3 linked regions of the Nothobranchius furzeri genome follow. The protein of the gene in region 1 purifies or fractionates together with the protein of each later gene. This does not show direct contact. Links are inferred from orthologs where the notes say so. Each region holds a gene or a part of one and is shown in the gene's direction. Other genes may lie near its edges.

What was found. Proteins that work in one complex are often made in the same cells at the same time.
Region 2: the proteins of imp3 (region 1) and utp3 purify together in Homo sapiens (affinity purification with mass spectrometry; 3 studies listed by BioGRID and IntAct, with this or other methods). This does not show direct contact. The link is inferred for Nothobranchius furzeri from reciprocal best matches to the Homo sapiens genes IMP3 and UTP3.
Region 3: the proteins of imp3 (region 1) and utp25 purify together in Homo sapiens (affinity purification with mass spectrometry; 3 studies listed by BioGRID and IntAct, with this or other methods). This does not show direct contact. The link is inferred for Nothobranchius furzeri from reciprocal best matches to the Homo sapiens genes IMP3 and UTP25.

What each region holds. Positions count from the first base shown.
Region 1 is NC_091751.1:70,486,957-70,491,667, reverse strand, and holds the start of imp3 (U3 small nucleolar ribonucleoprotein protein IMP3), read left to right. Parts: upstream 1-1,378; 5' UTR 1,379-1,600; coding exon 1,601-1,737; intron 1,738-4,127; coding exon 4,128-4,235; intron 4,236-4,711. UniProt on the Homo sapiens protein: Component of the 60-80S U3 small nucleolar ribonucleoprotein (U3 snoRNP). Required for the early cleavages during pre-18S ribosomal RNA processing. Part of the small subunit (SSU) processome, first precursor of the small eukaryotic ribosomal subunit.
Region 2 is NC_091743.1:64,230,581-64,235,403, forward strand, and holds the start of utp3 (something about silencing protein 10), read left to right. Parts: upstream 1-1,700; 5' UTR 1,701-1,844; coding exon 1,845-1,861; intron 1,862-2,154; coding exon 2,155-2,242; intron 2,243-2,879; coding exon 2,880-2,936; intron 2,937-3,013; coding exon 3,014-3,070; intron 3,071-3,148; coding exon 3,149-3,254; intron 3,255-3,324; coding exon 3,325-3,393; intron 3,394-3,485; coding exon 3,486-3,607; intron 3,608-3,693; coding exon 3,694-3,849; intron 3,850-3,931; coding exon 3,932-4,003; intron 4,004-4,823. UniProt on the Homo sapiens protein: Essential for gene silencing: has a role in the structure of silenced chromatin. Plays a role in the developing brain. Part of the small subunit (SSU) processome, first precursor of the small eukaryotic ribosomal subunit.
Region 3 is NC_091758.1:40,769,454-40,774,455, reverse strand, and holds the start of utp25 (U3 small nucleolar RNA-associated protein 25 homolog), read left to right. Parts: upstream 1-1,879; 5' UTR 1,880-1,943; coding exon 1,944-2,008; intron 2,009-2,956; exon of another isoform or gene 2,957-4,518; coding exon of another isoform or gene 4,519-4,557; intron 4,558-4,638; coding exon of another isoform or gene 4,639-5,002. Other genes in the region: transmembrane protein 151B, read right to left, coding at 1-362, 1,591-1,671; grxcr1b (glutaredoxin domain-containing cysteine-rich protein 1), read right to left, coding at 4,519-4,557, 4,639-5,002. UniProt on the Homo sapiens protein: Component of the ribosomal small subunit processome for the biogenesis of ribosomes, functions in pre-ribosomal RNA (pre-rRNA) processing. Essential for embryonic development in part through the regulation of p53 pathway.

The sequences.
Region 1 (4,711 bases):
TACACAATAATTTAAGTATGGCAGAATCAGTGCATTGTATAGTAATAACAATCCTTCACTATTTAGTACAAACTTTACACTATATAATACTGCAACGACTTTGGCCATTTTACCTTTTATATAGCCTATATGTGATTTCCAGCTTAGAGCTTCATCAATCATTACTCCCAGTCATTTGACAGTGTTGTTAAAACATGAAAATATGTTGAAAAAAGTCAGATTAAAGTTCAAAGTGGGTCCAAAGCTAATTTCTATGATTGTTGGAGAACCGTTTCAGCTAAGCTAATGCCTTTTCCAGGAAGCATTTACTCCCACCTCTAACAAACCCTAACCCCAATGCTGCTGCAAAGGTCCAGCTCAAGACGCGGTTCTGAGCATTTACTTCCTCTGCTGCACAACAACAGAAGACAAGTTTGAGATCACTTGAATAAACTTTCCTCAGACGTTCCTGCAGCCTCTAAAGCCTAATTCATGCTTCTCCCTCAGCGTCCCGAGGGAGAGACGCACGGACGGAGATGTTTTGCCCTCAGACTTCTCCGTTTTCTGACCCTGTTTTGTACGTAAGCAAGCTTGATATATGAGACCCCTGGTCTACAGGGCCTTACATGGACAAGCACCATCTTACATTGGTGATCTTCTTAGTCCCTACACCCCCAGCAGGTCCCTGAGGTCCAGTGATCAAAGCCTACTGGTTGTGCAGCACCAGGCTAAAGGTCAAAGGTGACAGATCATCTGCTGCTGTGGCCCCCAGACTCTGGACCTCTCTCCCCCTGCGCCTGAGATCAGTGGACTCAGTGGTCTCCTTCAAAAAGCAGCTGAAGACTCACCTGTTCAGGCTTTTGCGTGACCTTCATCACCACCCTCTCCTTATTCTGCTCTTTATACCCATTACGCCCTTCTCAGTGTTCCAACTAACCATGCTACTCGTTGATATGTGCTACTTTGGGGAAATGCACATGCACAGACCGATCACAGGCTGTTTCCCTAAAGAGACGCGCTACCTCTGGAAGTTTCTGCTTGTTGTAGGTTTACCTGACAGCTTGTAAAATATCATTATACTGTGAAGTAATTTCTCCCATAGTTTACCATCATTCATGACAAACTGTCTTTTTCATAAAAAAATCACGACAAACATTGTAAATTGTTGCTAATAATTATACTACAGTTCTGTATTTTTGAGTAATATTACCTATTTAAAATAAAACGTGCTTAATAAGTGCGTTATTATACTGTAAACAAGAGCAAAACTGTCGTAACATGATGCAGTAGGAATATTCCACGAGGAAGCAGGGATAGTCAGAACACCCTCATGGACGTCCATCTTTCCTATTAATTTTCTCTCTGTTTTCTTACATTTTTAAATCATAATTGTTTTTTTCTAATCTTAAACATGTCTTTAAATAATTTCAATAAATGTTTTTCATATTTTAAATTTCGCTATAAAAGACAGTTTTCTTTCTTTCGTTCACACCGCTTGGTGGCAGTAATGCGCCATCTTGTTGTTTGTCAACCGCCAATAAAAATCCAGAAGAAGCCACAGAAGAACACGTGTTTCCGGTTTGAGTAGCTGCAGTTGGCAAGCCGCTAATAAACAGTAGAAATGGTTCGTAAATTGAAACACCATGAGCAGAAGCTGCTGAAGAAGGTGGACTTTATTAACTGGGAGGTGGACAACAACCTTCACGAGGTCAAGGTGCTGCGGAGGTATCATATCGAGAAGCGGGAGGACTACATGAAGTAAGCTAGCTGCTAAACCTACCTGATATTTATCTTTATATAATTAGATAGTTTAGACAGTGTTCACTCGTTAAATCACAGACTGTATGAAGCTAATTTAACGCTAATGTTCAGAAAGCACGCTGTCCACTGAGGTGGACATGTAATAAATTATTTGTAAATGATTAAATGTTTGTTGAAGTTTGTTTCATTCACACCTAAAGATGAATGAAAAAAATTGTTTAAAAAATCATGGTTGAAGATTTCATAATTCATGCATCAAAGGGTTCCCTTTTTCTGTAAATTTGTGTGCAACAGTGTTGTTAATGATTTGATCTATTTAAAAATACTTATAATTAAAAGAATGAACACGATTTAAACGTTTATTGTGGGTAAATTTGTGTGCAAGATAAAACAGCGTTTTTTAATGATTTTTGATTAAAAAATTCTTTAATTGAAAAGAATAAACATGATTTAAACTCTTTTTGTAAAATTGCGTGCAAGATAAAACTGCGTTTTTTTATTTATTTAAAAATACTTTTAATTAAAAGAATAAACACAATTTAAACATCCCTTCTTTTTTTTTGTAAAATTGTTGGCAAGGTAAAACCCATCAAGTACTATGTCCTCCCCAATGTTCATAAAGATCTGATGTGGTATTTCAAAATAAAGTGCAATCAAAGTTGACTATAAAGACAATTTTCCCCATATTCAATGGTTTCTTTCTCTAAAAACAGTTTGATTGCGCTACATCATTCCACTTCAGTATTACAGTACACATTGAGTACTACATCCTCCCCGACTTTCATAAAGATGTGATGTGGCATTTCGAAATAAAGTGCAATCAAATTTGTCAATGACAATTTTCACTATATATATATATATATATAAATGTCACATCAGAATTAACGATGTACCCAAACAAGTTCATTTAACGATCATTCCTGAACTTGTTCCTTGTTTTATTTTTGAGTGTAAACCAAACTCACGAATTTTGCCTGGGGGGGGGGGGGGGGGGTGTTTACGGTTAACCATGCATTGACTCATTTGCTGTGTCTGGTTTTCTCCACACTTAGAATTACGGCCGTACATCAGCACCTCACCTAACACACTATTGTAGGCGTGTTTTGTCGGAGCGGGCGTGGGCAGAGCTTTGCCAAAAATTAACCATTTCATTTCCGGGTGTAAATTCAGGGTGACGAAAATGACTCGTTTATAAGATAAATGACATCTCAGCAGTACAGCATCCATACAGCACAATGTCTCAATCCAGAATGACTTCCTATCTCTGGCTCCTTCAAAGGCAGTTGGAAATCTGGGTGTTGTGATTGATGAACACCTGACCTTTAAAGATCACGTTGCCTCTGTTGCTCGTTCATGCCGCTTTGCGCTGTATAACATACGAAAGATCAGACCATACCTAACATAACATGCCACCCAGCTCCTGGTGCAATCTACTGTCATCTCCCGCCTCGATTACTGCAACGCCCTTCTAACTGGTCTTCCAGCCTGGACTGTCAGACCTGTTCAGATGGTCCAGAACGCAGCGGCGCGTCTGGTCTTCAATCAGCCAAAAAGAGCACACGTCACCCCTCTGTTCATTGAGCTCCACTGGCTACCGCTAGCAGCACGCATCAAATTCAAATTGCTAACACTAGCATACAAAGTCCGAGACGGTACGGCTCCCATCTACCTGAATCCTCTTGCAAAGGCTTACGTCTCGGCCCGGCCGCTCCGGTCATCACAGGATGGTCGGCTAGCAGTGCCTACACCACGCTCAGGACAATCCAGACTCTTCTCATGCATCGTTCCACAAATGTGGAATGACCTACCAAGCACTACCAGAACAGGGGCTTCCTTTTCAATTTTCAAGAAACTCCTGAAGACCCTGCTCTTCAGAGAGCATCTTCTAAACTAGCACCCTCCCTGCACCCGTCCCCCCCTCTCTACTGTCCACTCCTTGTTCCCTCCTCTCCATGACTGATGTCAAGTTGTTGTTGTTGTTGTTAGCCTCAAGGGCAACATGCCGATTATCACTTGTAAGTCGCGTTGGACAAAAGCGTCTGCTAAATACATAAACATAGTACTAATGGTAGTATATTATGATGTACTGTGTCTACCTTTGCTCTCAGTGGTTTAAAATAGCAGGATATGGAACCTTTATGGGCTTCAATAACCGGTTAAAAATGTTTTGGGAAACGTGCGTCCCTATTATGTCTGTTTTTCCTGATCTTTTTAATTTGATGCTGGATGCTTAAATGAAGTTAAATAGAAACGTTTAGCTAACCGAGTGCTAAACTTGGCATGGGCACAACCTGCAGCAGCAGCCTGGAGTGGTGGTGTTTACGGCAGCGCTACCCTGGCTGAACATTTCTGCTAGAGGAGCTTTAAACCCTATTTATTTTGCTCAGGTACAACAAGCTGAGTCGCAGCATCAGAAATCTGGCTCAGAAGATTCGAGACCTGGATGAGAAGGATGGCTTCAGAGCTCAGAGTACGCACCACCTGTTAGAAAAGCTGTAAGTTGCTCCTGTCGTGCTCACACAGAAACCAGTCTGTAACTCTAACATGGCCGCGCGTGTTTGTACCCGTTTACCTCGAACGCAGCTTTAGCTCCACCCACTGATGGTTTATGCTGGTGAAGGTTCTCACTCGGTCTTACAGGTCATGGTGATCCAAAAGGCAGCTGGACCTCTTAGGTTTCTTGGAGTCGTTTCACTTCTCGTCTGAGGAGCTTTGTCAATTCTAACTGGAATATAGGAGAGCTGTTGCTGTCTGTTGTTTTTAACGAGCAGAAACTACTCTGAGTACCCTACCTCTCTACCCCTGAGTTGTTGGCCTCTGTTGAGAGGGAGTCGTGTGGATTAGATGCAGGAAGGTGTGACCTAGACTGAAACTGCTTATGAATGAAATCAGGGCTGAAACGATTCCTCGAGTACCTCAAATAATTCCAGTACAAAAAATCCTCGAGTCAAATTCTCTGCCTCGAGGCTTC
Region 2 (4,823 bases), on another chromosome or scaffold:
GACCCAGGACACGTTGGAGAGGTTACATCTCCAATCTGGTCTGGGAATGCCTTGGGGTCCTGCCGGAGGAGCTGGTGGAGAAGGCCGGGGAGAGGACGGTCTGGAGCTCCCTATTGGGATGCTGCCCCCGCGACCCGGACCCGGATAAGCGGAGGAAGACGACGACGGCCCTTCTTCTAAGTCTGCATCGATGCAGACTGCAGATCAAGGGTGCAAAAGGGTGCGTGATCAACTTCTGAACTTAAGAATCGGGTGCAATGTGGTAGTGCAAGTATTGGGATTGGGCCCATGAGTGGCAGCAGACAGCAGGATTTGGGGTTTTATTTCCTAATATTTGAATATCTCACCTCTGATTGACTAACAGCAAAGCAACTCTACCACTGATTCAGTTTGCTTTGAAACGTTAATGTTTTATATCCTCAAATACAAACTGGAGGAGTTCTGCATGTGGTTGAGTTTCTAATGCTAACAGGTAGCTTATGCTTGCCGAGATGTTCAATGCTGTTTCCTGGACGCTAAAACAACAACAGCCTTCCCCGTCGTGAGCCAAAATGGGTGAGTCCAAGTTACCAGCTGACGTAGAGCTATCAGGCTTTTCAAATCCTACAGTTTCACCATCTGTTTTCTATCACAAGCAAATGCAAGACAAAAGTGTAGGAGACTATTTTCATGTTCAGCCAGTATGAAAAACTCATGACTAATTTTAATCAGAAATAATAATTAAACTGGTTTTAAAGTGATCCACACCTTTAAATGAAAGAATAATCAAATGTGTTATAGAAGCCATATCGGCTGAGACAAATCTTTCACGTGTGGTACCAAATGCTGCTTTGCAGCTCCTACGTCAAGGAAATGAAATGACTCATAACTCATGATTAAACCGTCATTTAAAAAAAATCATTGATACATTTGCCAACTACACACTCCTCAGTATGTTATTTCATTGTAAAACTATTCTCAGGTTCTCCAGGACTCAAAGTAATTCCTCAGGACTGATTTAAACTCAGATGGATTATTTTTTACAAGTAGTCATGGCTCAAATGTGAAATAAACTACATTTTAAAAATGTTTTATTGCAAGTTTTACATCAGATTAAGAAAAGATGGACCTTTAGATGTTAGTGAATATTTTGTTAATTTTAAAATTTTGATTGCCTTTGATATAAACTTTTTCTATTTTATTAAAATTGTTTATGTTTTCCCTTTTATTCTGTTGTATTGTGAAGCACTGCTACTTTCTGTAAAACGTTTTTATTTTTTGGTAATGAACTGTGAATTGGAATGTTTATTATGTGAAGTGCCTTGAGACGACTCTTGTCGTGATTTGGCGCTATATAAATAAATTTGAATTGAATTGAATTTAATAGTCAAATCATCAAAAACAATTTTTACTGTTTTCATATTCTAACAAAATTTTTAATACATTTTAAAGATTAAAAAATTAGAAAAGAAATAAAGGTAATTTTCTTTTCCAGTAATGAATAATAAACTTTTTTCATGAAAATTTTTTATTAAATATTTGCTCATTCGTGAAATTCTTTAGAACAAAACTATTTTGTCTAGGAAAAACATTTAAAAAAAATGCATGTTTAATATTTTTAAATTAATGTTTTCAGGTGGCAGGATTTTATTTATTTTATTTACAAACTAAAAAATAAACAATTACGCTCCTGCTCGGTAGGTGGCGGTGTGCGTGTTTTTCAACCAGAGAAGAAGAATCACGGAAGCACATGGCGTCAACATTACTGTGACTGAACATATTTCTTAACTTTTGTTTGAATTGATTGATTTGAGCCTTTTTGCGTTTGTTTTTAAAGTAGTTGAAGAACTCGGGTTGCTGCAGTCATGGTTCGAGCTACAAGGTGGGTTTAGTTAAAGCGATTACTGGTTAATTTACCTCCTAGCCTTTAATAACTGGATGAAAGTAATATTTTGTACGTTCTTGCTATGTTTGTCTTCAAATTCCATTTTTGGTTCTTTTTTAAACACAAATAAAGGTTTCCTTTAGATTTGAACCCAGGTTTTCTTTGGAAAAACTTTATATGTGTTTTAAAAAGAACCAAAAATGGAATTTGGATGAAAGTAAATACAAAACAAAAACAACGTCAAATAAAAGGCTGCAAATGCACCCGATGGTGACTTTTTTTCTTTACAGGAGGAAACAAACCCGAAGGCCTCAGACGAAGCAACAATATGACGACGATGACCCTGAAGCCTACAGAAAAATGCCTGTTCCTGATAAGGTAACTAATAAATATAGAATTATTTCATCTACTTAAAGAGCAAGTCACCCCCAAATAAACTTTTTTTTGCTGATAAACTAAATAAACGAGTGTCTAATCGTGCTGCAGACACGTGTCGTCAATAATTTGGCACTTCAGTGCATCTTAGTTAAAATTTAAATATTCTGCCTAAAACTGGCAGTGTTGTGCCGTTGTCAGGTAAAAACTCTGCACTGTATTTTAATTTAAATCTGCCACCGCTATTGGCTAAGAAGTATGCTATGATGTAAACTGGTACATTATGATGTCACAATGCTGTCGTGAGCCTGAGTGTGTGTGTATTTGTTAGCGGCTCCGCCCTCTCGGTCTGCCAGGCAACAGCATGTGTTGCATTTTTCAAACATGAAGCAGGAGTGGAGTTAGACTCTGGTAGGGGTTGACTTGCTCTTTAAAATGGTTCTTAATTTTGAATGAAAAGACAAACCATTGATCTAAAAAAGAATAATGGACCAAAACGTTTTGTTTATTCAATTACGCTTTTTATGAAAGGAATAACAGTGCAAATGTGAAGTTTTCCTCCCAGTTCTGCACTTAAAATGCTTTTTCCAGGTATGATTATTCTCCAGATCAAGTTTTCAGTGTCTTCTCTCTTTTACAGAAGTCTTTAGAGTTCATAAAAGACAAAATCGATGAGTTTCACGATGAGAAAATAGCTGTAAGTTCTCCTATTTTAATCCTTGAGAACAATGTGGTTGTTTTGTGTATTGAATATTTTCTTCTGTGGTGTCACAGAAACTTCTCGCCCGTGGCGTTCAAATGGAGAGTGACGAAGAGGAGCTGGATGATGAGGTATTTTGGTTTCTGTTTATTTAGGGTTAAAATTAAAATGTTTTTAGAAGAAACAGAAGTTTTGTCTAAATTTCCCAGGAGGAGGTGATGGCTCTTGATGATTCAGAAACAGAAGAAGAGGAGGAGGAAAACAAGGATGATGGGACAGATATGGAGAGTGACCTGGAGGAAAAAAAGGAAGAAGGCGAGTCCACGGTTGTTTTTAAGCTTGCTTTAATCACTGATATTATTTAATTTTGTCTTGTCATCCTCAGATCTTCCCAATGAGATGGCGTGGGGCACCAGAAAGAAAATGTTCTACGACTCTGATTACGTTGCTACCAGTACGCATCTTTTACCTCTGTTCGTTGGGTTTGCTTTAATCCCACGCAGGACTGATATTTACACACCCAACCTTTTATTCCTGCCATCACAGAAGGGAAACCACGGGAAGAGTTGGAGGTGGAGGAGCAGGAGGAAGAAGAAGAGGCGATAAGTATCCAGAAACGTTTGGCAGCGACTCTGAGCGAGGAAGATTATGATTTGAGCTTTTTTCAGGTATTTTTTTATTTAATTTGTTTTGTTTGCTTACAGTAAAGTATAACATAATAACTGATTCTTTTCAATCTGGTCACCTTTTGAAGGAGTTTGCTGCGAAGGACAAGGATGAAAGCAAGCCGGTGGAAAAGCAGGAGAGGATTGTGAAAGACTTAAAGCAGATGTCTCAGAAGGAGAAAATGAAGCTTTTAAAAAAGGAATCCCCAGAGCTGCTTGAACTCATTCAGGACTTCAGGGCAAAGGTCAGACAGGAACACTGACAGCGCAGCTGTACAAGTCATGAACTTTTAGACGGTGACATGTTGTTTTGTGTGACTTGTGCAGCTCACTGAACTGAAGGATGAGCTGAAACCCCTCCTGCAGATGGTCAGAGATGGACAGATCCCACCAGGGAAGGTGAGAGGAGGAAGCTCTTAAATGATCATTTTACAGCAAGTTTTATTCGTGGAAAATCACCAACGAGAAGATTATTGTGTGTCTGCGCCAAACAGCGAGCAGCAAGTTGGTAAAAACGAGCAGCTCGTGGTTAACATTTTTTATGAGCTCCTGTTCAACTGGGATCGTTCCTCTGAGGTGTTTACGCTCTACTGGAATCACGGGTTCGTCTCAGAGAGCTGTCTCATCTGGTCTGAGTGGACAGGAGTGCGATCTGTCCACAGATGAGACGGGGTGGGCATGATGTGGATTTTTAATCTGGGGAATAAGCTGACTGAAGCCTGTTAAGTTTGATTTAACAGATTTGGGTAATAGTGTTCTGATAGTGATGTGCAGCACCGACCAACGTTGGTCATTTTTAACATATCGTAAGCTGGGCGTATATTAACAACTGATGTTTGTGTATCTGTTTCAGGAAGGTGTAGGTCGAGTGGTATTTGTCTGGTCAGGTGACATCAATCATCTCAACAGCAATAATAGTATTTGATACCAGTGCACCCCTACTCCTCAGGTTACAGGAGGTGTTTTTGGGACGATGTTTTTGTGTAAAAGTGATAAATAGTTACTAGAGTTAAAGAAACATTGTTTTAAAGGCCCAGCTTTAGTCATCAGACTGATACAGATGTGTAAAATACGATAAACAGCCGATAAGTGTTGATGCAGAAATGTCGTGCATCTGATTTCACCTGCTGTAAATGGCTGAACAGAGTCAGTTGGGAGAAATGGAGGTTGTATTCTACAGGACTCATGAGGTAAAACGGTTTCTTAGGGCCTCATGAGA
Region 3 (5,002 bases), on another chromosome or scaffold:
TTCCACCAGATGCAAGGCTTAGCTTGCTGCATCCTCTGAATGCGCTCGCAGATGCCCTCCACGTCCACTTTGTGCTGCAACTCGTTCTTCACGTGACAGTGCCAGCACTCCACCAGGTACACCAGGTAGAGCATGCCCAGCAGGGCCAAAGGGATGTAGATGTAGCCGTCAGAACAGGGGCTGTCGTGGTACATCATGGATTTCCCTTTGAAGGCGCTGTCGAAGGTGAGGCGCGTCACCTTGGTGACGGTACACCAGACCATCGCTCCCATGCAGCCGTACATGAGGACGGACAGGAGAAGACATTTCCAGAAACTCTCCCGACAAAACGACTTGCTCAGGGATTGTTTCAGCGGTCTTTGCTGTTGCAAAAAAATAAAAAGAGGAAGTGGTTGAGAAATGTTAGAAAACATTCTTTGGCATCACATTTAAAGGCATTAATAAAAGCAAGTGGTCTAACACGATTTCCTGCAAAACAACGTTTAAAGGGGTGTGAAGCAAGAACGGAAAAATGACACCCTGTGGTTACGTTAGGGTACGTCAGTCCATTTCACTCTTTCGCTCCCGTTGCATGACTCGTGGCTGTGGCGAGTTACGGGTCAGCACCAGAGGGCTGTAGATGACGAGCCAAGACGATTCAGAAACACGAAGTTGATAAGTAGATAAATACATTTATTTCACTGTAATACGAGCTGTTGGTAATTGAAAAAGTAGCTTGATGTATTTTTTGATTTGTTTCTAATTTACTGTTAGCATTGTTAGCTCAACGTTAGCCTCTAGCCTGCTTCACCCAAGTTTAGAGTAAAAAAATAACGTTGTGGCTTCTTAGCGGTACAAGAAATAACTTCTGGGTCACTCCTTTTTACTGGCTTAGGATCTTCGGACAACTCTGGAGCTTTTTGTCAGCCGGTGTAAGCCAACAAATGCGGGAACGCTCAGCATTTATAGACCCAGCTATCCCAGATTGTACACAAAGACATCTTTGGCCATTTAGAAAGGAGAAAAACTCCCATCTGTGCCTGTTATGCTCTTCTTTTTTGTAAATATTGGTCTGATTGTGGTAAATTATCACTATTTGGCAGTTTAAGTTCATTTCTTGTGTTTTGAGGTTCTGCTTTTTGCACGTTATTCTGCTGATTTGTGCACGCTAAAGGAATTTTTTTTCATTTTTGTGCTACACCTTGCATTCCCAGAATCACTACAAGTTATTTTTATTGTATTTTATAGAGAAGCGTTTTAATTGTCATAAAGTAAATGTGCTGTTTAACAGCAGAACCAGTAAGGAATGAAAGAAGGCTCCCCGTCTGCATCAAACCCACTAAGGCAGGATTACACATCGTGGCATGTCTCTAATAGCTGTTAGTCAAGTGTGACTGCTGAGCTCCAGGCCCTGCTGCAGCAGATGAAAGGTGACAGGCTGTCCGGATAATCACGGGTCTTCTGGGGTCAGCATCATTAGATCATTTAGATAAACCATAAAACAGACTAGTGCGTAAACATCTTTGAAAAACACCGCGAGCTCGTGCAGTCTGCACGCGCAGCGCGCCTTTGGACACATTTAAGCACTGCGACAACAGAAACGGTCTCTACCTCCTCCCTGCTGTCTTCCTCGAACACGGTGGTGGTCGTGCTGCTTTCAGTCGCCGGGGCCGCCGACGCTGGAGGAGACATGGTGCCGGGCTGCTATTGACAACAATGATGGGGCGTGGAGATGGAGGAAGAAGGAGAGAGGATGAGGAGGAGGAGGTTTCTCCACCTTTTTCTGCCTCTGCAGCGTCTCTCATCCCAGACGAGCCGCCGCGTTACATCTATCATTTCATTCTGACGGGACTCGATGAAACCCGGGAAAATTGGACCATTCTGGTGGAGGGGAAGAGGGAAGTCTTCAGAAAGTCTCCCCCCTGCTGGAGCGTTTCCCCAGCCCTCAGTGCCGCAGTGAAAGGATGGAGAAGCGAAACCCGCTGCGGCGCTCCGGGTCCGCGGTGCTGATGGAGCAGGTGAGCCGTTGGTGCGTAAAGCTGACACTCTCCCACTGGGGCTTGAGATAATAAACAAGACGTATAATAATAATAATAATAATAATAATAATAATGATGATGATGATGATAATAATAATAATAATAATGATGGTGATAATAATAATAATAATAATAATGATGATGATGATAATAATAATAATGATGATGATGATGATAATAATAATGATAATAATGATAATAATAATAATAATAATAATAATGATGATGATGATGATGATGACACTAATAATGATGATAATAATAATAATAATAATATTAATGATAATAATAATAATGACGATGATGATAATGATGATGATGATGATAATAATAATAATGATGATGATGATGATGATGATGACACTAATAATGATGATAATAATAATAATAATAATATTAATGATAATAATAATAATGACGATGATGACGATGATGACGATGATGATAATGATGATGATGATGATAATAATAATAATAATAATGATGATGATGATGACAATAATAATGATGACGATGATGATGATGATGATGATGATGATAATAATAATAATAATATTGATGAGTCATAAATAAGTCATAAGCGGCCGAAATGAGTCTCCTCCGTAGGGTGGCCGGGCTCAGCCTTAGAGATAGGGTGAGGAGCTCGGACATTCGGGAGGGACTCGGAGTAGAACCGCTGCTCCTCCGGATCGAAAGGAGCCAGTTGAGGTGGTTTGGGCATCTGGTCAGGATGCCTCCTGGACGCCTCCCTGGGGAGGTGTTTCGGGCATGTCCTGCCGGCAGAAGGCCCCCGGGTCGACCCAGGACACGTTGGAGAGGTTACATCTCCAATCTGGTCCGGGAACGCCTTGGGGTCCTGCCGGAGGAGCTGGTGGAGAAGGCCAGGGAGAGGACGGCCTGGAGCTCCCTAATTGGGATGCTGCCCCCGCGACCCGGACCCGGATAAGCGGAGGAAGACGAAGACAAACGAAGACATAAATAACATTTTCCAAGTGGCTACAGGTAAGATAAACTTATGAACAATTTCCCCTCATTCCAAAGTTTTTTCCTGCAGTTCTTTAGCTTTCCGAAGAAATGCCTTTTATTTATTAATTCATTGATCTCTAACAGTCATCATTAGTTTTAGTTTCAATTTCTGCAAGTCTCATATGAAAGTTGGGTTTAATGTTTCTGGGAATACCTTGGGAACATTCCCTAAAGATTACATAATTTAACAGTTCAAATATGTTTTGGGAACATTCCCCAAATGTAATTTTTGTCATGACTTTGTAACGCTGAGGGAACATTGAAAAGGCTTGAGTTAACATAACAGGACTGTAATCTCTCAAAAGCATTTCCTAAATGTTCCCTTTATTTTCCCTGAAGACTGCAATTCCGGACAATCCACGAAAGATTCCTCGAAGATTACAAAGTGTAGCCTTTTGAGTACACTTCCGGAGTGTTCCCTGTTTGTCCTCCATTTGTAAAGTCATGATTTGTTTTAGTCCACAAACAACATTCCCTGAATGTCACAAGGTTATTTTCAGACCATTCAGGGAACATTCCTGAAATCCATATTGTGAAAGTTTGTGCTAAAGGTCAGGAAAAGTTTTCTTCAGGTAAATGTTCCCTAAAATTTCTCTAAATGCTGTCATTAATTTATAGCCCTCATTTGCTGAATTTTATGGTTTAAACGGTAAAGCAGGGAAGCTCGGGAACATGCCCTGAAGGTCAGACTGGGATTCAGGGAAGTTTCACTGAAATGAAAAACGACAGCAGTTTTCATGGTGGTGTGGTTGGTGCCTCCTGGTTTTCTCTTTGAGGAGTTTCACACCAAGCCAGAACTCACCGGAGGGAATACGTTATGCTCTCTGGGAATACTTTGGAGTTCTGTAGGAGAAACTTGTTTGGTTTTAAAGGGATGTGTCAGTTTCCTTCTTCCCAAATAGGAAAACAGGATCAACAAAGCAGAAATCTTCCAGGAAATGAAAATGAAGGTTTATTCAAGGTTTATGAAGTGCATCCAATCTGAACCTGATTACAAAAGTTTAACAAAAACATTAACGAGGGACTTTCCGACAAATATCAAAATCACACGACATTCCCGTTTAAACTGGTATTTTATAAAAAATCTTATAAAAACTTCTTTTGTGTCTCTGAGCTCTGAGGAAACTTCTTCAGCAGATTACGACGTTTACACGAGTCAGAAGATGTGATTTAACTGAACTTCTAGTGAATCTTTGTTGTTATGGTGACAGTAAATGAATATTTGTGGAGGTCAGATTCTACCAAAAAGACACAGAAAACACAATAAATAATGTTTCTGAATAACAAATAAAATCTTTCTATTGATTTGATGCTCACAATCGGACTTTGTTTGTGTCGTCATCTCATTAAACAACAAATTTGAATATTGTGTCTGAAACTTTTGATCATTGGGTTAGTTTTGATGGCAGAAGCACTCTTCCTTAACAACCAGACTTCCTGGATACTTGTGACTCCTTCTCCTTGGAGGTGTTCCTTACTCCTTGTCCCAGGGCCACCTTCTCTGACGAGATCCCTTCAACCAAAAGGATTGATCTTTTTTATTCCCCCCACAAACACAAAGCTGAGATGTTTAGAGAGTTTGGAGAGAACTTACCGAGTACATATTGGAGAGGTTGTTGAAGAGCACCTGTCCTGCGCTCACCTTGTTCCTCACCCCGCGGATCGTCCCGTTCTTGCTGCAGATGTTGATCCTCTTGTTGGTGAACAGCATCTCTCTCTTGGCACTGGCGTATAAAAGCAGGTCATCGGGTTCGCCGCCGTTCTCGTCCGCAGCAGCCTGCAGCCCGTTCAGGTGACGGTTGGCCTCACTGGCGGGCGGCGAGCTGACCTGCTCTGTCTCTGAGCTGCCGGTACCGTCAGAGTCCACCGACTCTGAAACTGAGCGGCACCAAGTCCTTTCATCCTTGAACACCTCAGCCAGGACCCGGCCGCTGTTGGCGGACGCAACCCTAAACCTG